Linked DNA regions of Anolis sagrei. The protein of the gene in region 1 interacts with the protein of each later gene in a pairwise test. Links are inferred from orthologs where the notes say so. Each region holds a gene or a part of one and is shown on either strand. Other genes may lie near its edges. The genes, in order: MYPN and ANKRD1.

What was found.
Region 2: the proteins of MYPN (region 1) and ANKRD1 interact in a two-hybrid assay, tested with the Homo sapiens proteins (2 studies listed by BioGRID). The link is inferred for Anolis sagrei from reciprocal best matches to the Homo sapiens genes MYPN and ANKRD1.

The regions. Positions count from the first base shown.
Region 1 is NC_090023.1:170,217,926-170,235,412, reverse strand, and holds the start of MYPN (myopalladin), read right to left. Parts: upstream 6,293-17,487; 5' UTR 6,074-6,292; intron 1-6,073. UniProt on the Homo sapiens protein: Component of the sarcomere that tethers together nebulin (skeletal muscle) and nebulette (cardiac muscle) to alpha-actinin, at the Z lines.
Region 2 is NC_090023.1:184,859,024-184,875,742, forward strand, and holds the start of ANKRD1 (ankyrin repeat domain-containing protein 1), read right to left. Parts: upstream 7,188-16,719; 5' UTR 6,922-7,187; coding exon 6,895-6,921; intron 1,953-6,894; coding exon 1,773-1,952; intron 1-1,772. UniProt on the Homo sapiens protein: May play an important role in endothelial cell activation. May act as a nuclear transcription factor that negatively regulates the expression of cardiac genes. Induction seems to be correlated with apoptotic cell death in hepatoma cells.

The DNA.
Region 1 (17,487 bases):
CTCTCCTTGGATTTAAATCTCTGATCTGTTGGTCAGCAGTTCTGCTGGCACAAGGGTTTAACCTATTGCGCCATGAGGGGCTCTTGGTAATATTATTCCTGTATTGTGTGCACGTCTTCACTGTAGGAGCAGGGGATGGGACAAAGGGAAATACTGGTTTGCACACTACACAATTAAACTATGGGATTCACATCAACAAGATCAGTAGTTTTAAAGGGGAACAAGGCAAACTGTGGTAGCTACTTGCCAGGATGGATATATACATCCTCCAGCAACAGAAACAATAAGTCTATCTGTACCAGTCTCTAAGGAAAGTGGACAGGGAGGGTGCATCTGTTTGACAACTGCGGGCACACTAGATGGCTTTGTGGCCATATCCAGCAAGCTCTTCTCATGTTCTTAACTAATCTTATTCTGGATTCAAGTTCATTGAGACCATGGCAGAAGAAATAATTTGAAGTATACTTAATCCATCAGTGCACAACTTGTGAGAATGTATCATATCACGTACAACATACACACCGCTGATATATGTTCTAGCCTGCAGTGTATCTGGCACACACACCATAGGCCGTTTTGGTTTAGTTCCAAGCCAGCAATGGCAGCTGGAATTCTGTTAAATCACTTGTGGTCTCTGTTTCCCTTGGGGGAGAATCCACATTTTTATAAGCCTGATTCAGTTTAATCTGAGGCAAAAGCTGACAGATATGGCACAGCAGTGTAAAAACCTAGCCAAACATGCTGTGTTATTGTCTCTCTTCCAAATTGCTAGACTGGTTAGAGAGAATGTAACTAACCTAATGAGAGTTGCAATGAGAGTTGTCAAATTCTGCAGGTTTTCAAATACATTTCAGAGGAGCTATTAAACAAATGTTCATCCCCCCCCCCCCCCCCTTAGCAATGGATGAGCAATGCAGTATCCAACCTAAGCAGTTATTTGTGCTGGATAGAGAGTATCACATCCTGCTTGTGATATTTCTGCCATGCATTCCAAAAATAGTCTCCCCACCAGAGACCAAAACATAGCTGGCTCATATTTATAATTTGTGATCAATTACAATTCCCTGGGTCCTTTTACAAAAAGTAACTACCAGGACATTGATCCTTTGCTAAAAGTGTACATTTGATTTTCTTTCAGTGTACTAGCATGATAGTAAACATATATTTTCTTTTAAACAGTTGTCTGGTTTTCAAAGATTGTTTTAATCCTGCCTTTTACAGGGTTTACAATCCCTTCCAATCTCTGCTGAGAATAGCTCCCAGGTCATGTTTTGGGCTACATGTCGATCTGCAAGACTCAAAAACAAAATAATTTGATGTAATTTTCAGTCAGTTATTCTCAGAGAAGTCAGTCATTCTCAGAGAAGTTAGTCCAACTTAAACAGAATATTAAAGATGATTCTCTAGCACAGTACGACTCAAAGTGATGGTCCATAGACATGAGGCAGACTATGAGCATTTCTATAAGGCAGTGGTTCCCAACCTGTGGTCTGTGGACCACCAGTGGTCTGCAAGAACTAAAATATGGTCTGTGGCCTCACCGTTACTACGCCATTGCAACAAGAGCAACTGGTCTCACTAAACCCTCTTATAGTGCCTCTTATAGTGGTCATTAGCATCAGGCTAAAATGATTAGTATTGGAACAATTCTATAATGTCTTCCCTTCCAATATTCAAGAGCTGGTTTTAGTAGCATATCGGTTTTGCTGTATTTCTGGCCAAGGGGTGTCCTCTCTTGGGCCATATCCTGGCCAAGAGGATAGCTTTGGTTGTATCTCTGCTGATACGACCAAGGCCAGAGTCTCAGAGCCAAACCATGCCTCTGAGACTCTGTCCTTTGTCTTATCCACTTTTTTCCTCACTCCATTATTGAAATAATGAGTCTGGAGTGGATGGTAAATGTGACTATTCCTTGGATTGTATGTATGAAAGAGAAGGAACATTACTGTACTATCTTTGTACATGTGAACACATGTATGGTGCCTGCAGCAGCATGAGCCCTGATTCACGGATAGCCTTGCAGGATTGATTCCATTTGTACCATTAATAATGCAACCTTACTGTTCCTCCAGATATTTGGACTTCAGTTTGTAGAAGTCCCAGCCAGCAAGAACAATAAGAGATCATATAAGCAAAAAACCAAAAACATCCAGGGAGCTCAAAAATGAATGCACTTGATAATCCCAAAAGAACCCTCCATTCAAATCTACCATTAATATCACTGCAGTCCCTTCTGTACTGCCATATAAAACCCAGATTATCTGCTTTGAACTGAATTATATGGCAATGTAGAAGGCACCTTGGAGAGAAAATAAGCATAACTAGTCATAATAGTTGATATAATTACTTTTGGGTAACTTGGCTAATTGGGATCTAAACCTTGGTCTCCAAGTATCCTAATTCAACATTCAAAACACCGCATCATGATAGCTCTACCTCTATGATCTACATCACTGTTATTATTTATATTCAATGGATTGCAATTTACTTTTTAAAGTGGTGTCTGATGGCTGTTTCATAAATGTAAGCCACTGTATTTGAAAGTTATCAAAAATACAGTGGGCCCTTGGTACCACTGGATTTGGTCCCAGGACCCTCTCTTATATGCAGTCACATACAAATATACTACCATTTCTCACTTCCCATCTGATTGGGACAGTGGCATGGCCACAGAAAAGAAACTGGCTGGCAGGATTCCTCTATCTGACAACACAATACTTGCATTCTGTCCCAAACCCTTGCACTTCTATTTAAAATAGGAATAGAAATTCTTTCTTTAAAGTGGTAAGAGGACAGAAAAGGTCAATGGCATTGTCTCAGTTTAAACTCCATAGCACCTTTGAGACTGAGATAAATAGTTGGCAGAATATATTTTCGTTTATTAAACCAGCTTCTGCAGATGCATGGAGGAAACAGACTATGAAAGCGTATACTACAACTGCTTTCTCATGCATTTCATGTTAGTATTTCATACTAACACAGTCATGACTTTGAATTCAGTTTAAACTGTAATGTTATAATTTAGAAAGTATTACATGCATTATTATTTATTTGGATTGGAAAACTACCAAACCCAATTCTAATTATATAATTCTACACACACACACACATATACACTAGCTGTCCCCTGCCACACGTTGCTGTGGCCCACATGGGGGTTCTGTGTGGGAGGTTTGGCCCAATTCTATCGGTGGGGTTCAGAATGCTCTGTGATTGTAGGTGAACTATAAATCCCAGCAACTACAACTCCCAAATGTCAAGATTCTATTTTCCCCAAACTCCACCAGTGTTCACATTTGGGCATATTGAGTATTCGTGTAGAGTTTGGTCCAGATCCATCATTGTTTGACTCCACAGTGATCTCTGGATGTAGGTGAACTACAACTCCAAAACCAAAGGACACTGCCTACCAAACCCTTCCAGTATTTTCTGTTGGTCATGGGAGAACTGTGTGCCAAGTTTGGTCCAATTCTATTGTCGGTGGGGTTCAGAATGCTCTTTGATTGTAGGTGAACTATAAATCCCAGCAACTACAACTCCCAAATGACAAAATCAATTTTTTTTGAGTGATGGACATACATTGGGTTATTAGGTATCATGTGTCCAAATTTGGTGTCAATTCGTCCAGTGGTTTTTGAGTTCTGTTAATCCCATAAACTAACATTACACACACACTAACATTACACACACACACACACACACACACACACACATATATTCCTTGTTTTACATCAGGTTTTTTTAACTGACCCTAAATATAGGCCACATACCATATTACATTGTAGCTTTTAAAAACTGCTGACATGTTTTCTATGCAGTGCTTTCTTGTATATGCAGTAAGATGTAGTGTTGGGGCTGCTAAAAACTAAGAAATGTATGTTGATGTTTTGTCTTTTATTCCTCTCTATGCTACTTGAGTCCCCTTCGGGGTGAGAAGGGTAGCATATAAATGAAATAAATAAATAAATATATAAATACTATCTGTTCTGATACAGCCATGCACCATGAAAGAACTCCCTGGATAGATCTGATGACAAAATTCAGTCCGGTACCTGCTTAGTAGAGATGCAAAGCTAACAAAGTATTAACTAATTTTAATCTAGCGAAAAAATATTAATGATCCACCAGAGGTGGTTGGGATTGTGATGGGATAGGTTATGAGATGACCCACACTTTGAGGCTATAGTTGTAATGTTTTTTTCTAGTGATGTGGAGAACTTTGCTATGAATTAGAAACAAATAAAAGCCAAAATGTAATTTATAAGACTACATATTAAAATAATTGAGTCCCTCAACATAATGGAGCTGCAATTTTCAAACTACAAATCACCAAGTGTTCAGTTGATTTCACTGATATCAGCCTTTTGACATACTAGAGGCAACGATTTAATCAAATTCCTTAGAAGCAAATGGCTTCAAAAGAGTAGTCTATTGTAATCCCAGATCCAAAGCAAAATATACTATTGTACACTGATTTTTTTAAAAAAAAAGTCAGTTCAAGTTGTAGCCATAAATTGATAACCAATTTGGCATCTACTGTAAATATTGCTTGCTATTACAACAACATTTTAGTATTGCTCAAAAACCCTTTTTGCTCCGTAAGTGTACAAAATATGCAAGGTTAATAAGATCAACAGCAGCTGATTGATTTAACACACAGTTGGATGAAATTAGCAACAGTTAAAAACTGATTAAAATATGGAATTAAAACTGATTGAAGCCATGGATGTATTTCAACATGTATAAAAGACTATAACTACTAAGATCTACATTTTTAGAGTCACAAAATTACATTCCTGAATTTCTTGAGTTGCCTTTGGGTTGGAGAAATGAGGGGTAGAAATGTTGTAAATAAATAAATAAATGCATAAATAAATGCTTATTTGAATATTGTGAAAGGTCATAATTAATAATCCCCTTTTAATAACATTTCTGCTACATTTTAAGCTGACACAGTAGCATTGATTTATGTGGGGCTAGTAGGTGAAATTCCCGTTACAGAAGTCAGCATAACTGATCTCTCCATGTTTAGATTCTACCACAAGATATACTATTTATTACAAATGGAAAATAATTGAACTGTAATTCTCAAACTGTTGCTCAGGCATCTCTGGAGTAAAATCTTGGGAAATGCCTTGAGAAATATTTCTCTATAGCCTTAAGAACCATATTTTTAAAACATTTTTTTCCTAAAAATGCTCATTAAGGGAAAGTGGCAAGAAGAGTATCCTTAGCTACTATGGATTATTCAAGTATGCATTTCTAGTTAGAAAATTTTGTTCTTATGGCCTACATTTCTTCTTTCTATTTTTCTTTGGCTCTACAAAATCCAAGAATTTATATTCAAACTTATCTGCATATAATGTTGTGTAAAATCCTTGTTCTACACAGTCTAAGTTTGCTTAATTATTTATTTTGCTTCATTATGTTCTCTCCATTACTGATTAATTCTACAATATAGCATGCCAAACATTTGCCACTGACAGTCAAAAAGTTTTTTGCAGAGAGAGAGAGAGAAGGGTGAGGGTTGAGAAAGCAATGCCCTTCGAGCAAAACTGTTCCTGCAGCTGTTGTGTACATTAATCCACGTAGCAGATCTTCAAACCCTAAATATAACTGGCAGTATCATTTTACATGACACATATTCTCTCTTTCTCACTCACTCATGCACCACACACACACTATGAAAAAGAAAGATTTTAAGTACACAGCAATATTTGCTTGTATTATTTTGTTTAAGAAGGAAATGCAAATAGTTGGTGTGGGTTTAGTGACTCTTAAATAACAATTTATACTGCAGTTTGAAAAGAGGGAGATAAAAAAGGGAAACTTTCTCATCCCCCCACTGCCTGTCTTCATGATTCCAAAGCTCATTCGGTTCTCTTTAATCTTGGATCCTCTTTGTAATTCAACCCAGAGAGTAAAAAAAAAGGGACTTGCTCCCCTAATATGACTTATCAGCAATAATGAGCATTCAGACATAACACAACCCGCCACCCTCTATTCTAGACCCTCCGTGCACCTGCGCAAGGTCATCAAAACATAGCAACACTTGAAAATTTAAAGATATTACCTTTTCTAGTTTGTCCAGATGTTAAAATCCAACTCTGGCACACAAACACGGTGGCAATTATTCCTTAAAATGAGATTTTAAATGACCGAAGCGATGGTACTCCTTCAGGTCTTTCGGAACTGAAATGTCTTGGAGTCCATCGGCGGAAGGGGGAAAGGCGTTAACCTTCGTTTTAGGGAAGATGGCTGTAAGAAGCCGGACAACCTGTCACCACTGAAGCAATAGCATTTGTCAGTTTGCAGGTCCCAAGTTATTTTGAGACACATAAACCATGTGCTTGTGAAACATTCCACCTCATTGGACAGGATAATATTGAGCAAAGGGATTCCATTGCTGTAACAGCACCTACGGAGGGTGGGATCCTCATTTTCCCTCCCCAAATAGAATATCTTCAGTGGATGCTTACGCATTCTCGGCGCGACTTGTTCATAAGAACACATGAAATTGATTTCATATTATTCAGGTTCTAATCTTATCAAAGAGGAGGGGTTACTTTAAAAGCCCAAAATAGTGAGATTAAAACTCCTCCTTGTTTATTTAGCTGTGTCTTGTTCTCTGAACGTCTAAGATGCCTAACATTACATGCTGTTAATAAAGAAACACGTTTTTGGGTCATGCTGGTTTTTGGGTCATGCTGTTTTTATTTTTTTAAAAAACCAAACCTATTTTAAACAGAATTTAACTGGAATATCCAAACAGCTATGTTAGGGTAATACTGAATTGTTATTAGAAATATTTTAAGAACATTGCATTAATTAATAAAGAAATTAAATAAGAAGGCAAAGTTTCATAATGAGGCAATTCCATGAAACGATGGGGAGAAACCTCTAGCAGGGAGGAAACTGAATTTTTGTTAGCAGGTCTTTTCATCAAAGTACTATACTATAACTATAATTTGGTGGAGGTCTCCAAAACACACTGAATGTCAATGGTTTTAATCCTATATTATACGTTTATTTTTATTTTTTTATTTTTTGAAATATGTTTATTATAATTTTGCTTACAAATATTTTAAAAGCAGAAAGATTGCATGGGGGAGGGTGATTGGGCAGGGTTGGGTATAAGGGTGTGTGGGGAAGGGTTAGGGATGTATTGGGGAATGGGGGGCAAGCGACAGAGAGTCGAAGATAAAGGAAAAAAGGAAAAGAAAAAGGAGGAAAGAAAGGTGAAAGAGAGAAGAACAAAAGAGAGAGAGAAATACCTAGCAGTTAAAAATCAGAGTTGAAGCAGGTTCTGTTCGTTGACTTCCACCTTTATCTTCCCTGGGTAATTTTAGTTTTCATACTGGTACCATGCTTTTATTTGATGTTGGTCACTTCTTTTTTGGATTTTTCAAATCTCTAATTTCTTGTTTTCCATTCTATAACTCGTACTTACTTGGGAGTATCAAGTCTTCGTGGGTTTCATTGTAATTCCTTATAATTTTTATAAAGGGTCCAGTCTGTTGGGTTTATAGGTTTGCCCTCCGGGTCTTTTAGGTAGTATGTCAATAGGTCCATATCCATAATTTCGGATACTTTAGTTTCCCATTCTTCTTTGGTTGGCAGTTCCTTTAGTTTCTACTTCTTAGCATATATTATCCTTGCGGCTGTTGTCAGATAGGTGAACAGTTTGTCCTCATTTTTTTCCAGCGGAATGTCTTTATCCGTTATGCCGAAAAGAAAGTATTCTGGTTTTATTTTTATTTTTTTAATGAATAAGTCATACTGTATACCAAAACATTTACTTTTGATTAGACATATATAAACATGTTTGTTATTGTTGTTTATTCATTCAGTCACTTCCGACTCTTCGTGACCTCATGAACCAGACCATGCCAGAACTCCCTGTCAGCCGTCACCACCCCAGCGCCTTCCGAGTCAAGCCAGTCACTTCAAGGATATCATCCATCCACCTTGCCCTTGGTCAGCCCCTCTTCCTTTTTCCTTCCATTATCCCCAGCATCATTCTCTTCTCTAAGTTTTCCTGTCTTCTCATGATGTGGTCAAAGTACTTAATCTTTGCCTCTACTATCCTTCCCTCCAATGAGCAGTCGGGCTTTGTTTCCTGAAGTATGGACTGGTTGGATCTTCTGGCGGTCCAAGGCACTCTCAGAACTTTCCTCCAACACCACAGTTCAAAGGCATCTCTCTTCCTTCGCTCAGTCTTCCTTATGGTTCAGCTCTCACATCCGTAGGTTACTACGGGAAATACTATTGCTTTTACTGTGCGGATCTTCGTTGTCAGTGTGATGTCTCTACTCTTCACTATTTTATTGAGATTGGTCATTGCTCTCCTTCCAAGAAGTAAACGTCTTCTGATTTCCTGGCTGCAGTCTGCATCTGCAGTAATTTTTGCACCTAGAAATGTGAAGTCTGTCACTGCTTCCACGTTTTCTCCCTTTATTTGCCAGTTATCAATCAGTCCAGTCGCCAGAATCTTGGTTTTTTTATGTTTAACTCAACCCAACTTTTGCACTTTCTTCTTTTGCCTTGGTTAGAAGGCTCCTCAGCTCTTCCTTGCTTTTGGCCATTAAAGTGGTATCATCTGCATATCTAAGATTGTTAATGTTTCTTCCAGCAATTTTAACTCCAGCCTTGGATTTGTCAAGCCTCCTATGTTGCATGATGTGTTCTACATACAAGTTGAATAGGTTGGGTGAGTGTATACAACCCTGCTGTACGCATTTCCCAATCTTGAACCAGTCTGTTGTTCCATGGTCAGTTCTTACTGTTGCTACTTGGTCCTTATACACATTTCTCAGGAGAGACAAGGTGATTTGCTATGCCCGTACGACCAAGAACTTGCCACAATTTATTATGATCCACACAGTCAAAGGCTTTAGAACAGTCAATAAAAAAGAAATAGATGTTTTTCTGAAACTCCCTGCCTTTCTCCATTATCCAGTGGATATTGGCAATTTGGTCTCTTGTTCCTCTGCCTTTTCTAAACCCAGCTTGCACATCTGGGAACTCTCTCTCCATGTATTGCTGGAATCTTCCTTGCAGGATCTTGAGCATTACCTTACTAGCATGAGAAATAAGGGCCACTGTATGGAAGTTTGAGCATTCTTTAGCATTTCCCTTTTTTGGTATGGGGATAAAAGTGGATTTTTTCCAGTCTGATGCCCATTCTTGCGTTTTCCATATTTGCTGGCATATGGCATATAAGCATGATCTGGAAGCAAAAGGATATCCTTTCCACTACTGCATTTAAGTACTGATGGGAGAATGTTCTTTAATTCCAACATCTCTCAAAATATTTCCTGTGATCTAGATATTAGTAGAGCCCCATTTTATTCATTTTTAAAACAAGTTAGTGTAAATGTAAAAAAAAAAAAAAGAAACAACCCAAAAAAAAAAAAACTATTACCAAGAGGAGTTGGAATCATATGATGTTCTAGATGTTTTTAGACTGCCATTAGTGAGTCCCAATCAATGTAGCCCAGGGTAATAGAAGATGTAATCCACTTTAGGATCACAATAAATTGGAAAATTGGAGAGGATAAATCTTTCAAATTCTCCCACATTCCACAAACAAACTCAAGTTCTTTGTAACCAATTTTTAGAAATTTTGTGAATGGTAGTGATTTCATGTCAAAAGCAATCTGAAATCAAATTTTCTTCTCTACCCATCGATTCGCCACTTGCACAATAAAGAATGAGCACTAAAGAAAAACTGAGCCTGGCACCTTCTGTTTACTTAACAGTTTCTTTTACAAATTGTTAGAATTAAGATTCTCATTAGGTAAAAATATTAGTACCCCTACATCTCTGCAAGATCAGAAATTGGAGGAAGACTTTCTTTTTTAAAGATGTCCATATAGTTTAAGGAAGACTGTTAAACATGACTAAGAATTCAAAATATGGGGTTTTGCTCAATGTGTCCGATGATGCTCTAGGTCGGATATTGTTTGGGGCACAATGTGCTTTCAGAAATTATAGCACCTTGTACTTGAATACATTCCAGACTCAGCATACACTGTTGCTATTAATACAAGCTGACAGCACTGGAAAACTGAATAATTTACATTCTGGAAAATAGTCATTATTCTGTATCACTTTGCTTAGCCCCTTACTGCTTTATTAAAAGCTCAATGTTACACTGTCTATTGGGTCTATATTATCTTATTTAGGAATTTTTTGTGCACTCTGTCACTAAAACTGGACCTCTGTCTGATCCTGATCTTGTTTGGTGTATGGCATATGTGTGGATACACAAGCCAAATAATAATAATAATAATAAGAAGAAGAAGAATCAGAATCAGAATTTTGTGGTCTCTTAAGGCACAAACTTCTGAAATGCTATCTGCTCTAGTTGAAGCTGAGGAGTCTTACCACTTCATATAGACTCCTTAAATTTACCTGTCCAATTGACCCTGAAGTGTTTCAGAGAAAAGGAAATCCTAGATTTCCACCAAAAACGAGAAAGCTGGAAATGTCAAGATCTCATAACTACACTTCTTCAGAACATTGCTGCCACTGTGCATCATGAGTACTTACTCAACCTCAACATTATCAACCAGGCTATCTAGATAATGTGCAGTTTCCACAAGTTTTGCACCAAGCAGGCAATCCATTATGTGTCTGTTATCTCCCACAGGTACATCCCCAGAATGAGAACATTTGTTGATCCCCCAAAAAACCTTCCTGGAGTGGTGCCTCTTTGCCTCAACATCCTCATTCTCCACAACAGCAGCTATTTTGTCAACCTGGGAATGAGACACGATTATCACAACCCCGATAACTTTGTCTTTCTTTGACCTAGAAAGAATAAACTGGTTATCTAAGAGCCAGGAGCTTGTAATGCCAAGCATACACCCATGATGTTGCTGCAAGCAGGCAGTTACACAATAAATTGAACAGTTCTGACATTCTTACTGGCTTCTATTTACAAAGGCAACTTCCTCTAAGGACCTCATCATGTGGGTGAGGTCCAGTGTTGCGATTCATCAGCTTCTGTGTCAAATTGGAGTAGCAGCAGGGCAAACCTGGCACACCAGCCCCATCACACGTGGGGAAGCATCACTGCATGGTTTAATCCCATGGTAGCCCCATTGTTCCTAATGGATCATGGGGAAGCTACTGCTGCACGTCTGCTTGACTCATGGTGGCTGGTGTGAGCAAGGATTTAGGGTGGTCAAAACAAACTGTTGCACCTCAGAGTAGATTCACCTTGCTGAAGACACCAAACCACACACAGCCAGATGTCTTTATAGTTATTAAAAATAAAAGGTAAAAAGGTTCTTAAAAGCAAAGGTTAATGTTCCAACAGATCAATATAAAATAGCACTTGAAGCTTAATCCAAAAAGGCATCAGCAAAGCAAAAACCCAAGAGAACATGACAAAGTCTTGTCATGAACACAAAAACTGCAAGATAAATCCAGACAAGCATAGGCAAACTTCTTAGTTGAACGCAAAGTTGCTTTGACAAAGATTTGGTCTCGCACACATGGCTTAATACCCTTTGCAAAACATGAAGGCATTCTTTGGCTTCTGGCCTCCCTCTTGTTAGCTATTCTTTCACTCCTTCGGACTTGGAATTCCAAACGGTCAGCCCGATCTAAGGTTTCCATTTTGCCAAGGTCAGCCAGTTTGTTAGTGTCAGCCTGTTTCCCTGCTTGTTCATTATCAGGCTGAGAACTATCCTCCTTCTCTGAGTCAATCTGCACCTCACCTGGCTATTTTCAGTATCAACACTCTCATTCCTTGCTGTGGGATACTGCACTTCTTCATTGCCTATAACAGGGACGTCTATAACAGGGACATCTTGAACCAAACTGTGAACCTGAGTCCCATCATCCTCATCAGAGACAGTCTGTGATTCCAGCTGAGTCACAACAGCTACCATGTTGGTGGCACAGTGTCCTACTACCCACAGAGCCCCGTTGGAAGTCTGCCTATGTCATATGATGGGCGGCATGGGGCTCCGTGAGTGAACAGGAGTAGAAGTGTCTTGGGACACTTATTTTTTCACATGTGATGAGGTCATAGGATTGAGACACTTTGGGCACATATACATGTACACTTTAGCCTAAAGCAAGTGAGAATGGGCTCTATGATGTTTACATAACCGGTTTGAATCCCTCTACGGAGAAAGAGAAGATCGGAATATTAAGTTTTAAAGAAATAAATAAATACATACATAAAACATGAAGCCATCTTGCCCCCAACACAGGGCACAGCCATTCAACAGGATTGTGCTCCACATTAGGCAAAATTGGGGAATGCTCAGGAGCTTCCCCAGATTTTGAGGTGGTGGTGAGATGAACACTGGGGCCAGTTTGGAATCAGAATTACCCCCACAGATCACACAAAGGTGTTTGCACAACTCAGGGGGGAGGGGGTGGCCCTATCCCCTCTTCCAGTCATGTGGTTGCCTTTGCTTACATTAGCAAGGGCACCAAGTGATAGCCACAAGCAGGGGTGGCTCAACCCATTACGCAAAGTAAGCATTTGCAGTATAGTTGATTTTGCCCAGTGGCACTCTTGAGGCACTCTTGGGGGAAAATAGACCTTGACATATGCGAGTTGTAGTTACTGGGATGTATAGTTCACCTACAATCAAAGAGCATTCTGAACTCCACCAATGATGGAATTGAACCAAATATGGCACACAGAACTCCCACAACGAACAGAAAATATATTTCAGTGATTGGTTGGGGGGGGGGGGTGCCAAAATACTGTTTGCTTTCTGTTGAAAATTATCTAGGGCCACCTCTGGCCACAAGCTCTCTGGAGCTCCAAGTCCACTGCTACAGTGACAAACAATCACATAGGTAAGGGTTAGCATCCAATGGAGCCCCACTGACTTATTCCCAACTGTGGCTGCAGCCAATTAGATTAGGAAGCCTAATTAAAACCAAGCCAAAGTAAGCTATAATGGGCTCAACTCCAGGGCTGCAGAAGCCTCTGTTTCAGTTTCCTGAATTTGCATGCAACTCTACTAATACCAGTTTAGCAGCATGCAAAGATTCCAGCCCCTAGAAAGACTTATATTGTTTACGTAAATGTCTTTAAACAATTCCAAGGACTTTTACTGACTTTACAGTTATTGTACAAATGTGTTCTCCCAACTCACACAGAGCTTTGCAGACCCTCGAGGAGTTTAACAATCCTCCACAAACTCTTCCGGAGGTTTTAAATCCTGCATGGAATCCTGATGTGGATTAAACCACATTAGCACTCCACCAAGATAGCAATAAATACATTCCATCATTTGGAACCAATAATAAGTATCAGGGTATCACACTCCCATGTGTAAGCATAATTTAAATACTTCCAACACAAAACTCTTGAAGACAGAAATATAAGTTATGAAGTTGTAAGGTTATAGGCACTTGGATGATCAAGTGTTGAAAAATGGTATCAACAAAAGTTTGAGCAACCAACATTTAAAAAAAACAGTGCAATGGAGGGATGCTAAAACCCCAAATACAGTTATTGGGAAACTAACCAGAGCAGACTCCACTTCCAAAGTAAAGGACATAGGATATGGGTGTCAGATTGAATTGATGAAACTTCGGCCTTACTTTGAAAGTAAAAGGTCCAAAAAAGCAGCTAAGGTAACCTAATAATTATATTAATTCCTTATCAGGAATTCCAAAATCCAGACTACTTCAATTGCCAAAACTACAGTCATGAGTGACCTTTGCTTTCAGATGTTTAACAAACTATATTTCAGACAGAAAACTGTTGAAAATATTTTATTAAACTTTCAGGGTATGTGTATGAGATATATATGGAATATAAATGAATTTTGTATTTAAACTTGTGTTCCATCTTCAATTTCTCATTTTATATGTGTATGCAAACACAGGCTTTCCAAAATCCATGAAAAATACAAAATACAAAACATTCCTGGTTCCGAGCATTTTGGATAAGGCATGCTCAGTCTATGTTAGTTTATGGAAGCTAGTGTTAACTATTATAATGATCTGTGATAACAATGAAAGGCCTTCTTGGAAAGAGAGATATTTCTAATTCTGTTTTTTTTCTGTTAGTTTTAAGTTTTATTGTATTGCCATATTGCCCACTTTCTATTATTTGTCTGATGTTAAATGGCAATGGGACAGAGTATCTAATCAGGATTGGTTTCCTTTGAGAAGAAATCATTGGAAGTTGATAATATTCCATAATACGAGTTTATTTACAAATCTACTAGGGCTGGGCGGTTTCGTTTCGTAATTTCGTAATTTGTTAAAAATTCGTTATTTTTTTGATAACGAAGCGATATTGAACCATTCAGGAGCAACTAAAAAATAAACGAATTTTTCCAATTCATTTCGTAATTGTTTCGTAATTGTTTCGTTATTGATTCGTAAATGTTTCGTTATTATTTCCGCATGTCTGGTGCAAGTTTTAGGGTTGCTGTTTGTTTTCTCAGTGAAAAAAATATAATTATCACACCAACAGTCAACAACAGAGGGAGAGGGAAGCTTCAGAAGTTTTTTTAGCGTATTGTGCGATCGCGGCCGCCATTAACGAATCGATTCGTAATCGATTTGTAATCGTTTCGTAATTGTTTTATGATTTCTGAAATTTCGTAAATATCGAACTTTTTTTAAGGAAAATTTCGGAATTCTTTTAAATAACGAAACGCAAAAAAACCCTAAAAATGAATCGAGTTTAGAAACAAATTTTTCCGTGTTTGGACAGCCCTAAAATCTACAGGTGAAACATTCCATATACAGTCTATCCCTATGCACCAGTTATTCAGACAGAGCACCCCTGCATCTCTTTGTGCTACGAACTTATTTGAACCTCTGGACATACTCCCTTCCTCATCACCCCTCTCTTTCAAAAATCTGCTGTCAGACTCCTTTGTTCCCTTTCACTCTCTCACATACTTCTAGATTTCACCCCCTTGAGCTACCAGAGAAAGGTCAGCCACTGCCATTCCTTTCTCTTCTTATTTTCACCTGTTCAAAACATCCAGTATCAAGAAGTAATTTACTGACAATTAATTTCCACTGAGGTCCATTGTTCAAATATCCCAGACTATTAATATCCTTTTCTCAATTCCAGAAGATTGGCTAGGTATGGCCTTAAACCATAAGGCAAACACAATGGTACTCCTGTTCACAGTCATCTGGCAGTAGAAAGAAGATGGTTTATATGGATGGTGGTATAAACCCCTTACAACAGCTAAACAGGTAAGGAGAAATGATTGCATGAATAAAATGTAACTGCATATTTAATACTATTGAAATGTATTGGATTAAGACCTACCAAATCCAGATCCACTGAAAGTAATGGTCTCTACTAGTCACAACTAAGGAGACTCAATGATATGGGATCCTCAACACAATGTTGGAGTTCAGCCTGTGATTGTGTTTCAAGAAGTGTTTTAGATGTGGGGAACTATGTCAACGAGGGTCAAGATGGGGATGGTCTGGTCAATGATATTAATGCAGATAATGACACAGAGATGACGGTTCAAAGTGTAGTTTCCCATGAGAATGTTCCTAAAGGGTATAGGGATGATAGTTTACTCCCTGAATTGCTCCCAGAGATTTCCCAGGATTTGGGGCTTGAAAACAACTTGGCACCTGGAGAAACTAATGAGCATATAGACAGATGGGTGGAAATTAGCCAGAACAAACAGCTTGGCCAAGGCCTTCGCTGTTCTGCAAGGCTTTGAGAGATAAGGATGAGAGGCATTCAGGGAAAATGAAACCAATTTCTGAGCACTTGGAATGGCTTAATGAGGAGATATAAAGTTCCAACCATGGGAAATATAGTCAGATGAAGCATTGTTTCAGAATCCTCTTTGTCTCTTGTGATTATATACTCATGCTTCGGATCAATGTTTTCCTGGTTTTTTGGATTTTATTAGAGAAGTCTGGTCTTTGTCTTTGAACTTTGCTGAACCTTAGCTTGGAATACTTTGTTTCTGCTTATCTTCCAACCTAACTGGATTTACCTATTCTCTTAAAGTGTTTTTTTAACCTTGCTGCTTTTACTTATCTCCAATAAAAAAAAGGATTATTTTCCTACTCAATGTGTGATGTTTTGAAGTCAGGGGGTCATTCCTGTTCTGGAGTACAGTACACGACAACTCTCATGGTCCTATAGCATTGAGCCATGACAGTTAAAGTGGTGTCAAACTGCCTTTAATGAAGTAATAATGGAGCACTGAAATAAATGGACATCAGTCATTCATTCCACCCTCCCCCCTAAAGTAAGGCAGCTATAATCTGAAATCTACATAACTTGAAATCTGGTAGTATTTTGTAGTATTTTTGTTGCTGCTGTGCCTAAGAAAGGCCTCACACTTTACATGGACTGAAAACAGGACTCGGTTTCTTTTTGCATGCAGCTCTCTCAGTAGGATATTGTGTGGTTTCCGGGCTGTATGACTGTGTTTTAGCAGCATTTTTCTCCTAATATTTTGCTTGCATGTCTGGCTGGCATCTTAGAAGATCCTATGGAGATGCTAGCCACAGATGCAAGTGAAACATCAGAAGAAAATGCTACTGGAACATGGCCATACAGCCCAGAAACCCCAGTGATTCCAGCCATGAAAGCCTTCGACAATACTGTCCATCCTTTCCCCTTAATGGGGTGGCTTTTTCTCCATGGCCATTATAAAACATGTACCAACTCATTAGCACAAGCTCATTTGCCCTCTATGTCTCTTCATTATGACATATATGAAACTAACTATCTGTGTAGTGGATGTTTTGCATTACAGCTCCCATACTTTCTGCCATTGGCTGTGATTTCGGGGAAATTGTAGTCCAAAACCTTTGCGCTTTTGCTTGTATAAACAGGAAGGCCAGATAGCTGCTGCAGCCAGGAAGTCCTTTGCTCAGCATTGGGTAGATTACCACCTGCACCTTTTCATAGGGCAAGCAGATATGCCCACTGTGGTTCATTCCTTAATTACCTCCCAATTAGCCTATAGTAATGCACTTTATATGGAGATACCCTTGGGAAATACTTGGAAATTGCAGCTAGTACAAAATGCAGTGACCAGATTTCTTTGAGGTACGTAGTGATATATTATGGGCCTTGTAAAAAGTGCCCTGATATCCAATTTGCTTCTAAAATCCATAGTATTTTTTGTTTGAACTCATACGCCCCCCCCCCCCCCAAATCTTAGGGTTAGGATATCTGAAAGTCCATCTTCTTCCATATGAGCTTTTCTCAAATTTGAGATCCCTGGCAGAAGCTCTGTTGCATATTTCAGCATCTCATAAGGCTAAGTTGGAGGATTCACATAACAAAGCTTTCTCTGTCACAGCTCCACAACTGTGGATCTCCCTTCCACAACAAATCAAGTTGACTTTTGAGTTTCTGGTGGCCAGCTTATTTCACATTTCCTTTAATCTTTAAAATCAGGTGCAGCTGTTTTAAACTATGTTTTAATACTATTTTTAAAAATTGGTTTTGTTTTTTTGAAAACATTTTTCATTTATGTATGAAATGTT
Region 2 (16,719 bases), about 15 Mb from region 1:
AGAGGCAAGAATAGAAGGCAAAAGAGAGAAACATGCCAAGAGGAAGGCGCGTCAAGCCAACCCCAACCGGGACCGCCTTCCACCTGGAAACGGATGCCCTCACTGCGGGAGAACATGCAGGTCATGAATAGGGCTCCACAGTCACCTATGTACACACCATCAGTACACCGATCTTCAAAAACAATCCTACTCGGACAACGAGGGATCACCTAAGTAAGTAATAAGACAACCCTATTGCTGGGGTTTCTTGGCAAGATCTGTTTAGACAGGATTTGCCTTGCTTTCTTCTAAGGGTGAAAGTGACTTGCCCAGGGTCACTCATGAGGTTTCCATGGCCAAGTGAAAGTTTCAACCCCCTTCTCAAGAGTCATAGTCCAGCATCATATTCCTGCCTGATGTGATAGTTCTACTATAGTTAAATGTTCCTTGGAATTTAGTCTAGTTAGAGCTGTTTCAGAATGTGTGTCAACTTGTACTTCAAGCAACAGGCGCCACATCTTTCAAAGAGCAGTGTAGCTGAGGTTTTTTCAAAGAACAAGGTGTTAATAAGTGCGACTATAAGTGACAGAATCTAGCTCCCAAATATAGAATATATTGCACTGAAAAATCTGTTTATTGAGGTGACTTTTGATTAAGTAGTTTCAAGGCGCACCTTTATTGCAAACTCAATTTAAAAGCATGTTGGGGGGTATGTAGCAAAAGGTTCTCATTCCAAACCCTTTAAAATCTGTCAGGTTTCAATCCTTCCTTGATTTCAGCACAGTACTGTAATTCTTCATTTGAATAATCCATCATCAGTGCGAAACTGTAAAATTCTAATTGGCAGGCTCATGATAAGCTGTTACTTCAAAGGCAAAACTCTGCTGATTTCAACTTACTAATGTCTTTCCTATTTTCACCTTCCTTGAAGGGGAGGGGGGGGGATGTGAATTGGGATTTTGCTGCCCTAGACATCGGTCTTGTTCTCAAAGAACAAAACAGTCAAATGGTTACAAAAATGGTAATGATAATTTTGTGATAATATAGAGATGTGGACAATACAGAGATGTGGAGCTGGGTATGTTTAGCATGAAGAAAAGAAACTAAGAAGGATCATGATAGCAATGTTTAAACATTTGAGAGGCGATCCCATTGAGGAAGGGGAAAGTTTGTTTTCTGCTGCTCCGAAGACTTAAGGCACAGAGCAATGGATTCAAATGGCAGGAAAGCAGACTAAATATTAGGAAGAACTTCCTGACCCTAAGAGCTACTCAACAGTGGATTATGCTGCCTTGGAGAATGGTTGGGTCACCTTTTCTAAAGACTATTCCTATAAGATCCAACCAGTCCATATTTCAGGAAATAAGGCCCGACTGCTCATTGGAGGGAAGGATATTAGAGGCAAAGATGAAGTACTTTGGCCACATAATGAGAAGACAGGAAAGCCTGGAGAAGACAATGATGCTGGGGAAAATGGAAGGAGAAAGGAAGAGGGACCGACCAAGGGCAAGATGGATGGATGGTATCCTTGAAGTGACTGGCTTGACCTTGAAGGAGCTGGGGGTAGTGACGGCTGACAGGGAGCTCTGGCATGGGCTGGTCCATGAGGTCACGAAGAGTCGGAAGTGACTGAGTGAATAAACAACAACCTATAACAATTTCATTGTTTGTGTCCTACCATCCTCCTGAGATTATCTTGTTTAGATGGCCAAAGGAATTCTGACCTTTAGAGCTACAGAGATACAAGGAGATGTTCAAGATATAATTACACAGAAAAATGTTTATATATTTACCTCGGCTTGTAGCTTTTTCTCCTCTGTGTAGGTCAAATTATGCCGTGGGAGCAGGTGAACATTCACCGTCTTCAGATCCTCATGTTTTTCTAACCTCACAGTAGCTTCGTATTCTCCATGTTTGAAGTCCTCCGGGAGAAAATCACCTGTCTCTCTGCCATCACTCTTTTTGCCAGTCACCTGTCAAAGGAAAAACATGGTGTCAGAGTGCAATATTTTGCTTTATGACCCATTAGAATGGGGCAACAATTATACAGAGTGTACCTTTTCATTGCTATCTCTTCCAGAGTTTTATCATTTTATGTCGTGCATTTTCCATTATGTTATTTTGTACTTTTTATTTTACTTGATTGGTTTATTTATTTTATTGTGATGTTATTTTGTTGTTTATATTTTATGTTGATGTAATGTATTGCTGGGCTTGGCCTCATGTAAGCCGCACCGAGTCCCCTTTGGGGAGATGGTGGCAGGGTATAAATAAAGATTATTATTATTATTATTATTATTATTATTATTATTATTAGTGCAGCCCTTGAAAAGCACAGGGAGAGGAATTACTTTGAAAACATGGGTTGAATCAGTGGCATCCAACATTTGGTCATCCAGCTCTTTGGGATTCCAACTCTCAGAAACCCTGTCTACCTTGCCCAGTGTTCAGGAATTCTGGGAGCTGAAGTCTAAAACAACTGGAGGTCCAAAGACTGGACACCACAGAGTTCAATGAATGCCTCAAGGCAACACAGCCGAGCTGATATAAGATGCCATGAAGCAGTGTTTGCCATGTTCCAAATTCTCAAGTGAAGAACCAGTTTGCAACCCAACAAGGTTGACCTTACAACCCAACGAGGTTATGTGAGAGGAAGTCACAGGAAGGAGGGAGCAAGCTTGTTTTCTGGTGCCCTGGGGACTAGGATGCAGAACAATGCCTTCAAACTACAAGAAAGGAGATTCCATCTGAACATTGGGAAGAACTTTGTAACTGAGAGCTGTTCAGCAGTGGTACTCTCTGCCCTGGAGTGTGGTGGAGGCTCCTTCTTTGGAGGCCTTTAAACAGAGGCTGGATGGCCATCTGTCGGAGGTGCTTTCAATGTGATTTTCCTGGTTCTTGGCAGGGAGGTGGACTGGATGGCCCACGAGGTATCTTCCAACTCTATGATCTAAGATTCTATGACCTTATCATTTTGTTCAGTATTAAACAGAATGAGGCAATTGCTTCACTAGTAACTTGTGGAAGGAAGGAAGATGTCTAGATGGTGGGGTATTAAAAATGGTGCAGATTCATGATCATGATAGATTAAGAAAGATATCTGGAATTATAGACAGATGAAAAGAAATTTGAACAGAGAACAAAGCCAACAAGAACTGAGCTGAGATGTCTGTCATTACCATAGTATGGACTTTATGGTGTGTGGGAAGGGAAAAAAATTGTGCAGAAGCTGTCAAGACACAGAGTGCCTGGAGGAAATGAGGCAAAGTGGGCAGTGATCTGAAAAGTTGTTACTTGAGAACAGAGTGTGCTTGTGAATGAAATATGGAAAAAATATGGATTTATACTGTGGCAAAATAATACAAATGGGAGCCTGCAAATGGAAAGCTCTCTGTAGCTTTGAAAGGAAAAAAGTGGGCAGACACAGGAAGGTTGGTACTAACAGTACCAACATAGTACTAACATCAGCTAAGAAAAGTTTCTTTTATGGACTGCACCTGCAAAAATCCTCTAGCTAGAAGCGCCAAGGTCCCCAAAAGTTGTAATCCAAAACAGTAACCATCTCCAAGCTCTGGACCTACCCTGTGGTGTTGTGAGCAGGTAATCCTAAGGGTCATACCAATGGTGAATGATGGCAGGGCAAAGTTCCACTTACTGATTTGAACTGATCAGACAGTCATTAGATAGATACAGCTTGCACCGAGTAACCATCTAACTAATAAATCAGCTTTGGGGAGAAAAACAGTAAAGCAATGGAGAATTTGGAGATGGAGACATATGTGAAACAGCAGGCTGAAGATAGATCCAGAAGCAGAGTCCATTGGTAGCTTCCATGTCAGTGATTAATCTACTCAGAACTATATTCCCCAGTATTGGTCCAGCAATTGATTCGCTCCTTTGGAGACTGAAACCTTGGATGAAGTCATCACTCCATTGATATGAAAGCCACCAATTGCCACTAAGCCACTGAGCAGAATACCTCAGACTAACTAGAAACAATTATATCTATAATTACAGATAGTTTACAGGTACCATAACATTAAAAAATCCATTTCTGTTCTACCATTGGGCATCTGCTATGTGTAGTCAGCCAGTCCAGTTAGTCCATATAATGAATCCTGTTAAAATTAGATGTAGCTCAGCCTCAATGAAGTCAATGACACAAATGAACTATCAGTAATACAGCTTTCATTGCTCCCTGGGGTTGTAGTCATGACTAACTTTATCTGGACTAGAGGTCAATGGCTGGGATTGGTTGCTTTGGGTCACCCAAGAGCTTAGGTAACCCTTAAGGGATTTTTTGTATTCACCCTGCCTCTCGTAGACTGGCAGACTCCTATGCCATCTGGTTTTGAAATTCTCCATGTGGCATGGGAATCTCTCACCATGCCTAAAAGTCCTTTGGGTGTTCAGAATGAATGGTATGGGTCCTTGTTTCTGGCTTGTTCACAACTACCTTATCACTGACAACGCTTAGAAAAACCACCTTCCTCAAATGCTCAGCTTGCATAGTTATTGGCCCATGTTGGTTGAAGGGTTTTGTAAGTTGTAATCCAAAATGGTAACATCTCCAAGTTTTGTTTAAAGCCTAAGATATATTTACATGGTAGTAATCAAGGAGGCTATTCAATACAAGCTCTTTTGGGATCAAAGCTTCTTAGCTTCGATCCTATCCATATCTGCTTGGAAGTCCCACTGATTACAGGGGACTGTATAGACCAGTGGTTCCCAACCTTTTTTTTATATACCAGGGACCACTTTGACCAGGGACCACTCTCCAACATTAGTACCAAAAGGGTTACGAATCAGTTTTTGGTCAACTCTCGATTCAGTTTAGTTATTTGGGGTGCTGATTCAGAAAATTGCATTGGATAGACCACATCAGCTCTAGTTTCTGATACAGAACATATGCCATCCAGTAGTCACCATCTGCTCGCTCACAAAAAATATATATTTAGTAAGCCTCAGCACTATAAGAGGGTTTTACAAGACCAATTGCTCTTGTTGGAACGGTGTCATAATGGTGAGGCCGTGGGCTGTATTTTAGTTCTTGTGGACCACTGGTGGTCCATGGACCACAGGTTGTGAATCACTTGTATAGATTGTCAGCTACAATTTCTTTTGGTTCAAATCTCTAAACAATCATCCTGGCTGGTGTCGAAGACTGTTTAATTAATGAACCCCTCTGGTAAGGCAATGGATTTGATAAAAATTTTGCAGAACAGCTCCTGGATATTTGGACAACAATTATAGGAAATACCCATGCCGGACCTTTCCAAAGACACAGCCTTTCGAGAAGGCTCCTATTCCATTTGTTTCCTTCACTGCTAACTCTTGCCATTAATAAGACAGTCAAAAGACCTGAGATAGAAGATGCCAATTAAGCCTATCCATTCACAGATGCTCACATACACGTTATCCTCTCCAAAATTGTTAGTTCTGAATCAATCTCACAAACTTGGCTTGGTGAAAACATAACCAGAAATGCATTGTCAGATTACTTTCCAGTCTATATAGAAGAGATTCGGGTGTTTCAGATGCATGACTCAATCCCCAAATAAGATTTATGTTTTGGAGGTCACAATGTGGTAAAGAAATATGAAACAGACTTTAAACAAGCAAACAAACTAAAAGAATTATCTTTCATCTGAGAAGCAACCCCTTTTCCTCCTTATGAAAGCACTTACGGGGAAAATTTCAGTGTCCTTGCACTTAGATCAGTGTTTCTCAACCTGGGGGTCAGGACCCCTGGGGGTTCGCGAGGATGGTGTCAGAGGGGTTGCAAAAGACCATCAGAAAACACAGTATTTTCTGTTGGTCATGGGGGTTCTGTGTGAGAAGTTTGGGGCAATTCTATCATTGATGGAGTTCAGAATGCTCTTTGATTGTAGGCGAACTATAAATCCCAGCAACTATAACTCCCAAATGTCAAGTCTATTTTCCCCAAACTCCACCAGTGTTCACATTTGGGCATATTGAGTATTTGTGCCAAGTTTGGTCCAGAGCCATCATTGTTTGAGTCCACAGTGCTCTCTGGAGTTAGGTGAACTACAGCTCCAAAACTCAATGCCCACCAAACCCTTCCAGTATTTTCTCCTGGTCATGGGAGTTCTGTGTGCCAAGTTTGGTTCAATTCCATTGTTGGTGGAGTTCAGAATGCTATTTGACTGTAGGTTAACTATAAATTTCAGCAACTACAACTCCCAAATGACAAAACCACCCCCTGCCCCAATCCTACCAGTATTTAAATTTCAGCATATTGTGTATTTGTGCCAAATTTGGTCCAGTGAATGAAAATACATTCATGGAAATGAACCAAACCTGGCACACAGAACTCTCGTGACCAACAGAAAATATCAGAAGGGTTTGGTTGACCTTGAGTTTTGGAGTTGTAGTTCACCTACATCCAGAGAGCACTCTAACAATGATGGATCTGGACCAAACTTGGCACAAATACTCAATATGCCCAAATGTGAACACTGCGTGGAGTTTGGGGGAAATAGACCTTGACATTTGGGAGTTGTAGTTACTGGGATGTATAGTTCCCCTACAATCAAAGAACATTCTGAACCCTACCAACAATAAAATTGGACCAAACTGCCCACACAGAACCCCCATGACCAACAGAAAATACTGTGTTTTCTGATGGTCTTTGGTGACCCCTCTGACACCCCCTCATGAACCCTGCAGGGGTCCCGACCCCCAGGTTGAGAAACACTGCTCTATTACAAAGATTCTCAGAGACAATTCATAAAACCACATCATTAGATCACATGTCACATAAAACTTGATCAGACTGCCCAGCCATGTTTCTCTTTCTGCTATAGTTAATTCATAACTTATATGGAACACTTGACAAAAGTGTGTGATACCAGCCTACAAAATGCAAACCATAAAGGAAGAATAACAACCTACCAGCTCTTCCACTTTCAGCATCATCATGGTTCCAGCTGGCTTATCAAGAAGTGTTAACACTGTTTGGTACTCCTTCCAAGGAAGATGCCTCCTCCCACTGCTATCCAAAGCTACTTTGCTAAAATGCGCCAATCTCGCTCAGCTTATATATCTCTGCAAAAACTTCTTCAGAGTGAGATAATCTTCCAACCTGGGAATCCAAGTACGCCCTCAGCCCCCCAGCCCTGAGATAGGTGCTCTTGCATTCCAGACATGTTAACTAGCCAGATCTAGTGTCAAAGATAGGAATGGCTAGGGGAGGGGGGGGGAGAAAAAGAAGAGGGCTACATCTTGCCATGTGTAACTGGGCTGCCTGTGTGAATCACTGTGAAATACTAGAGCTTCATTCCATTCGTGATGACTAAATAGCTCTGCAATGCTAGACATTTTGTCTGTCCAGTGCCCAGTGGGACAGCTGTCTGCAGATACCGCGCTGTATCGTAACTGACTTTCACATGAGCCAGAGACACCAGGAAAAGGACAAGTGACCCAATGCCGTGCTCAGCGTATCATCATCTTTGGCTAAGCAAACATGTGATCTATTCAGGTATGGGAAGTCATTCTTTTCGTGATATTCTATTCTCGGATTGTAAACAGTATGAGAGGGAAAGGGGTGGTCTTTTTCTCCCCCCTCCCCTTCCTCTACCCATCATCATGGCACTTGTCTATATTTGCTGGAAGGAATTATCCAAAGGGATTATGAAGCCAGAATGATGTCTCTGGGGCTAAAAAAACCTCAATGACACAGTAAGTTACCATCAGCATAAGAAATGGAACCCGCTGGCTTTGCATTTTCTCTGGAATCTGTCACTACTTATAAGCAGAATTCAGAGCTGGGGAAAAGGTAATATCTGGGACTATAAATTCCAGAGTCCTCCAGGCAGTATAGGGGGTCATTGAAGTTGTAGTCCTAAAAAAATATTTTTCTGAGTTAGAGCAAAAGGGAAATATGGACCCCAAAATTAATCTTGAAGTACAATTTCCACTCAGATTAGAAAATTATCCATAATCAGTCAAGGTTTTCTATCGTTTCCAAACAGAACACTAGGGTTCCACAAAAACATCACAGAAGTTCCGCATTTTTTTAAAAAAAAAACTTTTAAAAACTTTTTTAAAGACCATGCCAAAGAATGAAGGTTTTATTGAAATTCAGTGTACCTAGAATCATAGGGTTGGAAGAGACCTCATGGGCCATCCAGTCCAACCCCCTGCCAAGAAGAAAGAAAATTGCATTCAAAGCACTCCAACAGATAGCCATCCAGTCTCTGTTTAAAAGCTTCCAAAGAAGGAGCCTCTACCACACTCCGGGGCAGAGAGTTCCACTGCTGAACAGCTTTCACAGTCAGGAAGTTCTTCCTAATGTTCAGGTGGAATCTCCTTTCCTGTAGTTTGAAGTCATTGACAACGGCAGCATAAACATAGTTTATTTATTTATTATTTATTTAAAGCATTTATATTCCACCCTTCTCACCATGTTTCAATGCTCAAACATGGAAATGGATTGAAGCATCTACAATAGAAGATGTCACAATTTCCTGCCTAACAACAACAGCAGCAACAACAACAACTTTATTTTTGTACCCTGCCTCCATCTCCCCGAAAGGACTCGGCTTAAATAAAAGTCCAAACTATTTATTTATTTGTTTGTTTGTTTGTTTGTTTATTTACCACACTTTTATCCCGCCCTTTTCAGCCCGAAGGAGACTCAGGGCAGCATACAGACTGGCAACAATTAGATGCCGAACACACATAAAAGCATCGTTTAAAGCAGATTAAATCACATAATAAAATTCATATAAAAACAATTTAAAACTATAAAAATCAATGACTTCCGAGTTTAAATCCATTTCCATTTGCATAGTTAAGCCATTCCATATTCGTTCACAATACTGAGTTTATCTGGTTACAATGAGGTTCCAAAAACTTGCTCGAAGAGCCAGGTTTTTATTCTTTTCCTATAGGTCAGGAGGGAGGAGGCCAATCTAATATCCCCAGGAAGGGTTCCACAGCCGAGAGGCCACCACTGAGAAGGCCCTGCCCCTCGTCAGGCAGAATCAAGAGCAGGGCCTCCCCAGATGATCTTAAATTCCTGGAAGGTTCGTAAGGGGAGACACGTTCAGATACGTACGTTGGGCCAGAACTGTTTAGGGCTTTATAGGTTAAAGCCAGCACTTTGAATTGTGCCCGGTAGCAAATTGGGAGCCAGTGGAACTGGCGCAATAGCAGAGTTGTATGCTCCCTGAGAGCCGCTCCCGTTAGTAGCCTGGCTGCCACCTGCTAGACCATTTGAAGCTTTTGAACAGTTTTGAAAGGTAACCTCAGGTAGAGCATGTTGCAGTAGTCTATATGGGATGTATACACTACTGCACATTAAAATTCAAATAACAACATCACAACACAATATAAAACAACCAGATATATAACACAATGTAATAAAAGAAAAAACAATCGAGCAACAACCAGTGGCCAGAAATAGTAACAGTTTCCGGTCTCCGGAGGGCAGGCTGGTGCAAATCAAATTGTGAGGACAGGGCTAATTGATAAAGTGCAATTACCAGATTGATGGGGAGATATTGGAAATATATTGATACATATATTGTATGTACTTTAGAAGCACTGAAATGTAAGTAAAATCAAGTGCTCACTGTATTAGAAAGCCGAGCTGACAGGCCAGAAATAATGCTGAAGGAGATCTGTGTTGAAAGGGGGAAGAGAAGGGGGTCGTGTTATCGATACAGAGACTAGTACAGCATAGCACAGGCTATACCATCATATTTCTAAGTAAGCAATCTCTCTCCCTCCTGACAGGTCAAAGTAGGCCCCTTTGATGAATGTAAGCTGTAAACTGCTTTTAGAAAAAAAGTATAGATACATGCCCCTTGCACGTAGAAGATAGAATTTGATATTTCTATTATTCTCAAGGAGCCCTCGGTGGTGCAGTGGGTTAAAGCGCTGAGCTGCTGAGCTTGTTGACTGAAAGGTCACAGGTTCAATTCCAGGGAGCGGTGTGAGCTTCCGCTGTCAGCTCTAGCTTCTGCCAACCTAGCAGTTCGAAAACATGCAAATGTGAGTAGATCAATAGGTACCGCTCCAGTGGGGAAAGGTTGTGATCAGATAGGTACATTCTATCACATGTGGTGGACCTGTAAGGAGACATCAAAATATTGGTCATTGATTCATGAGGAGATACAAAAAAATATTAAGTTTAAAAAGAACCCGGAGTATTATCTATTAGGCTTTACTGACTTGGAACTACAACTTGGCGAAAATGAAGATAAACTATTTACATATATTACAACAGCACTAGAATTATTTTTGCAAAATCTTGGAAACAAGAACAAATCCCTGCTATTGATGAGTGGTTGGATAAGGTAAGAGAAATAAGAGATATGGATGAGCTAACTTTTTTATTAAAGATAAATACCGGGAAATCATTGAAAGGACAGATTGGGTCCTTTTCTATGACTATGAAAAAAACAGAAAAAGGAAAGATACAAAGAAGATGTAAATGTAACAACGAAGTAAAAAGTAAAAGTAAAAGATAAGAAGATCCTGAGGCTGGAATGGAAGTCATCTTTTTTGTTTTTCTCATCGGTTTTCTCTCTCTCTCTCCCTCTCTTTTTCTATCCTTTTCCTACTTTGCTTTCCTCTTTTGAATATTCCCCCTCTTTCCATGTATCTATATCTAAACTAACTAATAAAAATATTTTTAAAAAATAGGTACCAGCAGGAAGGTAACTGCGCGCCATGCAGTCATGCCGGCCACGTGACCTTGGAGGTGTCTATGGACAACACTGGCTCTTTGGCTTAGAAATGGAGATGAGCACCACACCCCCGAGTCAGCCATGACTGGACTTAATGTCAGGGGACAACCTTAACCTTTTTATGATGCTTAAGGTGATGTAGTGATGATGTTAACGTATATAGAAGCATGTTTCTTTGTTTGCCTGCATTTGAAGTTGTATAAAAGAAAAGTCTATGCCTTTATCTTCACTCTGGTTTGCTTTTGGATGAGAGTCCACACCAAAGTCCCAGCTGGAAATAAAGCCGTACTTTTCTGCCTACAAAAGGATCGCTCTTGGTGTGCTGTCGCACGCTGGGCCTGTGCATAAGACTGTAGACAGGACATACATTCTGTGTGCCCAACGGGACGCCGGGGCTGCCTCAGATTAAAGGCCCTTGGATTTCTTTAAAACAGAGTCTTTAGATTGCTTAAAGGTTCAACAAAGTTCTTTATTATTGAAAATAAACAGGTACTTTAAGGCTTTCTTAATAGTCTATTGGCTCTCTCTCAATCTTGTCCACAGGGAACAGGCACTATCTTCATAAACTGTACATTAACTAATGGGGAAATCCTTAACTTCTAATCTGGGCAGTCTGTCTTTGCCTCTGTTGGCGTGGAGCCCCTGCACCCGGTACCAACTGCTTCTGGCTTCCGCGAGTGACCCTTACCAAGCAGAGCTTTGTAGACTTCCAGAGGAAAAAGGAGTTTCGGTGATGGCTGGCTGAAGTCCCTCAGCAAAGGAGCTGTAAGGCTGTATGATCCTCGGCCAAGCTGTGGGCTGTATAACCCCGGCCAAGCTGTAGAAGACGAAGCTTTCTACAGGAATTCTTGGTTTTATGTCCTGTATGAAAGGCTTCTCTGTGTGGACTGGCCCAAAATGGCTCCTATTCCCTACAAAACCCAAAAAGGGACCAGGGAACTTAACTATAATTGACAGGTGGCTTGCCAAAAGAAGCCACCTATCCGCAGAGTCCCTGAAACTTAGGACTACAACAAACATTAAATGCAAAGCAAACAAAATTGGAGCTCCTGGTACAGCTGTACCTGCACACTTGGTATTATCTCTCCTATGTGCTGCTATAAGATGACAAAACTAGGGTTAAAGGCCGATATAGAGTGGAACATTATAACTTTGAGCAGTATCTACAGTATCATTTGCCCAAAGCATTTCCCTTGTTCATCTCTAATAACAGAGTGGCTTTATGATAAGGGCTGTGAAGTCGTACCTTCTGGATACAAATTCTGTTCTGCTTCCTGACTCTTACCTCTGCCCTTATCTTTTAAAACACAAAGGATGCACCCGTATGATTTCTCCATTGAGATACAAAACTAGCATATAATGCTAATGGTGGAGGAAACGCACGCGGAGTGCTTCTCAGTGGAGCATGGCTTAGATTCTCAGCTGCTGCAAATTGCCTGGGCCCTGTGCCTATTCCAATATGCTCCTCTGCTTCTTGGCAGCCTCCTGGAAAGAGACCGACAGTCATCCCACCAGTACAGTATAAAGAACCTTAAAGATGCAGACGGTGGAGTCTGAAGACGATGATTCAGCTTGGTGAGGTAAATGTCCACCAATCCAGGAACTGTATTTGTGCCCACAAACATGAAAAGAACCAAAGGGCGGGAGAGGCGTGAACATTGGAGCTTTGCCTTAAATGTAAGCATTTTGTTTCGGGTTACTGACTTTGAATAAGATGCTTTGTAAGCAGGTAGCTTTCCATACCTCAGAGGCAGGAGGATGACTTCCAGGTTATATATTTGTCCCAATGTCATTCGGTTGGAATCTAGACTATGTTTATTTCTTTGCCTTTGTGGTTAATTTACGATCAGAGATACTTAGCTCAATTTCACTGACTCCATGTGATATAGGGATTCAAACTGGGGAAGGCAATTCAAGGACATTTGATTTTCCACCCCTCCAACGTCATCTATATAAATAAAAATTTTATGTGCGTTTGTGAGATTAACATAACTCAAAAAAACACCAGATGAATTGACACCAAATTTGGACAAAATACACTTATCAGGCCAACAAAGTGACAAAAACTAAAAAAAAAACACTGAAAAACACAACGGAAGAGACTTTAAAAGCCCCAAAAAATTAAAAAATTACAACGCATGCGCAAAACCATATATATACACACATACACACAAAACACATATACACAGACTGGGCCAGAGCAACGCGTGGTAGGGGACAGCTAGTAGAATCATAGAATCATAGAGTTGGAAGAGACCTCGTGGGCCATCCAGTCCAGCCCCCTGCTAAGAAGCAGGAAAATCGCATTCAAAGCCCCCCTGACAGATGGCCATCCAGCCTCTGTTTAAAATCCTCCAAAGAAGGAGCCTCCACGACACTCCAAGGCAGAGAGTTCCACTGCTGAACAGCTCTCACAGTCAGGAAGTTCTTCCTAATGTTCAGATGGAATCTCCTTCCTTATTGTTTGAAGCCATTGTTCCGCCCCTAATCTCCAGGGCAGCAAAAAACAAGCTTGCTCCCTCCTCCCTATGAGTTTCTCTCACATATTTATACATGGCTATCATGTCTCCTCTTAGCCTTCTCTTCCGAAAACTAAACATGCCCAGCTCTTTTAGCCGCTCCTCATAGGGTTTGTTCTCTAGACCCTTGATCTCCCTTCAATTGTGGTGCCCAGAATTGGACACAGTATTCCAGGTGTGGTCTGACCAAGGCAGAATTTGTATCAGGAGATATGGTCTTGTAGATAATTTTGATTTCTAGATTGTGTAACATCAGTTGTAGCCACCAGGTCCAGCTTTGCCTCCTAGTCATGGTGAAATGTACAGTAGGTGTGTATCCAGTCTCTGTACATTATACGGCCAAGGAAGAGGGATCTGCTTTATCCTTAAGACAGAGGGGAAATTGTTAGATGTGCAACAATGCTTAGCAATGAAGAATGCCTCAGTGGTAATAGGGTTTTTTGGTCCTCTCTTCTTAATTACCTATCATAACTGCACTAGGGTGGCACAGTGGGTTAAACCTTGTCCTGGCAGGACTGAAGGCCGACAGGTCGGAGGTTTGAAACCGAGGAAAGCACGGATGAGCTCCCTCTATCAGCTCCAGCTCCCCATGCGGCAACATGAGAGAAGCCTCCCACAAGGATGGTAAAACATCAAAACATCCGGGCGTCCCCTGGGCAACATCCTTGCAGATGGCCAATTCTCTCATACCAGAACTTAACTTGCTGTTTCTTAAGTTGCTCCTGATGCAAAAAATAAATATATGATTGCATTGTGATGTAAACGGATACTTAATGATGTTTTTCACCTCTTCCCTCCTGTCCTCTCTCACTTCTTTCTTAGAATAAAGCTAGTTTAAATTGGGTAACTTTCCTATCTTTAAACGAGTTCCCATAAAAAAACTTTTAATTTGTTTCTCCAAACCATTGATTTCTCTGTTCTTTAATTAGGACCTCAAGCCATGCCATATAACCTCTATCACAAATCTGTTCCTTGTTTCCCTGTTGAGCAATTATAACTAGATATTGCTTAGTGGGCCATAACAACCAGAAGTTATCTTAATGTCTAAACATTTTGGTCAATATGTTGTGTGAGGAGGTATCTAATGTCTCTTTGTGCAACACCTAAAAATGTTTATGTTGGCATAAGTCTCCAAGTGAGTTCTGGTCTGTACTTCCCAGGCATTGAATGGACTAGATGCGTGGGTGGAAAGGGTAGAATTAGGATTTAAGGGAGAAAGGCTTAGTTAAATCCAGGCCCATATGATGTGTTATGACATCCAGCATAATGTAGTGGTTCTAAGTATTGGACCATGACTCTGGGAAATTCAAATCTATGTTCAGTAATGCAAACCCAAGGGATGACCTTGTGCAAATCATACTAACAGCCCTGTCAGAATCACCACCAGAATCATGGTGATCCTAGCAGCACTCACTCAGGAGGCTTGGGGACATATCATCCCACGTCTCGCACCATTCTGGCTTCCTTCCTCACTCATCACATGGGAGGAAGTGTCTGCTGGCTGGCTTGCTCCATTGAGGGCAATGCAACACGAGATGCCTCCCATGTTGCCACTGTCGGCTTTTTCTTTTGGTGGTGACTCCAGTTCTGCCACAGTTTTGCCCTGGAGCCACCCCGGAAATACTTTTCCCATGTGTAGTGGGAGCCAGCAAACTCTGTGGCAAAGCTTTAGCACAACTGGAGTTGCCGCCAAAATTTGCCGGGTATGATAAGGTTTTAAGTGTCAGCGGAAGGTAGTAGTAAACCCCTTCTGAAGAAATCTTGCTAAGAAAACTCTATGATACATTTACCCTATGATTACCATAAGCTGGAAACTGTTCAAAGACACAACAACAACAACAACAACAACAACAACAACATGCACTAGATCAGTGGTTCTCAAGCTTCCCAATGCAGCGACCCCTTAATACAGTACCTCAAAATTATTTTCGTTGCTACTTCATAACTGTAATTTTGCTACTGTTACAGATTGTAATGTAACAATAATATATCTGATATGCTGAATGTCTTTTCATTCACTGGACCAAATTTGGCAAAAATACACAATACGCCCAAATTTGAATACTGGTGGGGTTGAAGGGGATTGATTTTGTCATTTGGGAGTTGTACTTGCTGGGATTTATAGTTAACCTACAATCAAAGAGCATTCTGAACTCCACCAACGATGGAATTGAACCAAACTTGGCACACAGATCTCCCATGACCAACAGAAAATACTGGAAGGGTTTGGTAGGCACTGACCTTGAGTTTGGGTGTTGTAGTTTACCTACATCCAGAGAGAACTGAGAACTCAAACAATGACAGATTTGGACCAAACTTGGCACAGATACTCAATATGCCCAAATGTGAACACTGGTGGAGTTTGAGGAAAATAGACCTTGACATTTGGGAGTTGTAGTTTCTGGGATTTACAGTTCACTGACAATCAAAGAGCATTCTGAACCCCACCGACCATAGAATTGGGCCATACTTCCCACACAGAACCCTCATGACCAACAGAAAATACTGTGTTTTTGGATGGTCTTTGGCGACCCCTCTGACCCCCAGGTTGAGAAACAGTGCACTAGTTAGTTCTTTAACTTGTCTCTTGGCAATACAGATGACTCAGGGAGGCAATTTGTTTCTCAATGAATACAATTTTATTAAAATTACCGGCATGGTACATGAAAACATTCCCATGTATCCAAACCACTGAGGGAAAAGGTTTAGAACAAAAGGGAAAGGAAACCTCATAATCTGGCATGTGTCTGCTCAGAACAGACATAGCCTTCTTACATCAGAATCTCAAAACAGCAATGCATCATTTCTTGTTGCATCATTTACTATAGGCGTTTAAAAAACAGCTCTCCAGAGATTTCGGAAATTGCTCCTTTTTATCGTAACAGTAAATAACTTTCCATTTTGTCATCAAATGTTATGCTGCTGTGATTGCATTCCCTTTAATGGCTGCCTGACCCAGACATTTTGTAAGGTTTCCCAGTCCCTTATCTTCATGCCAGAAAAAATGTACCCTATTAAATCTCTGTATGAGTACAGGCCACTGCTGCAAACGCGGAAGCAAACAACTACACGTTTTTGTAAAGGAGAGAATGGAGGGAGTCAACCACAATGTCACAGCTAGCATTAAGCAGCAGTGCTCACTGTGGGCTGCTATTTGGGGATTTCTCTGAGGGCCAAGAGATTAATTATTTAATTTATTATTGCATTCTTACTGCCATTTTGTTGTGGCCCCATGTGCCAGACTAACTTGGCTGACCTTTGTTTCTGTTCTTTCTTCTCCACTTCAAAAAGCATAATGGTTTTGGTCAAGCAACATAATGTCTTGTAGGCAGGGGTATAATACTGCTTGTGCCGCTCAATAAAAAAGTGTTATCGATGAGAGGGGTGAAACTTGCGACCTTATCACATGAGCAAAATTGCCCGTCCTATGACAGTTTCACCTTACTTCAGGCATGGAGCCCACCAGATCCCATCACATGATGTAGATCTACTTCCAGCAAGGC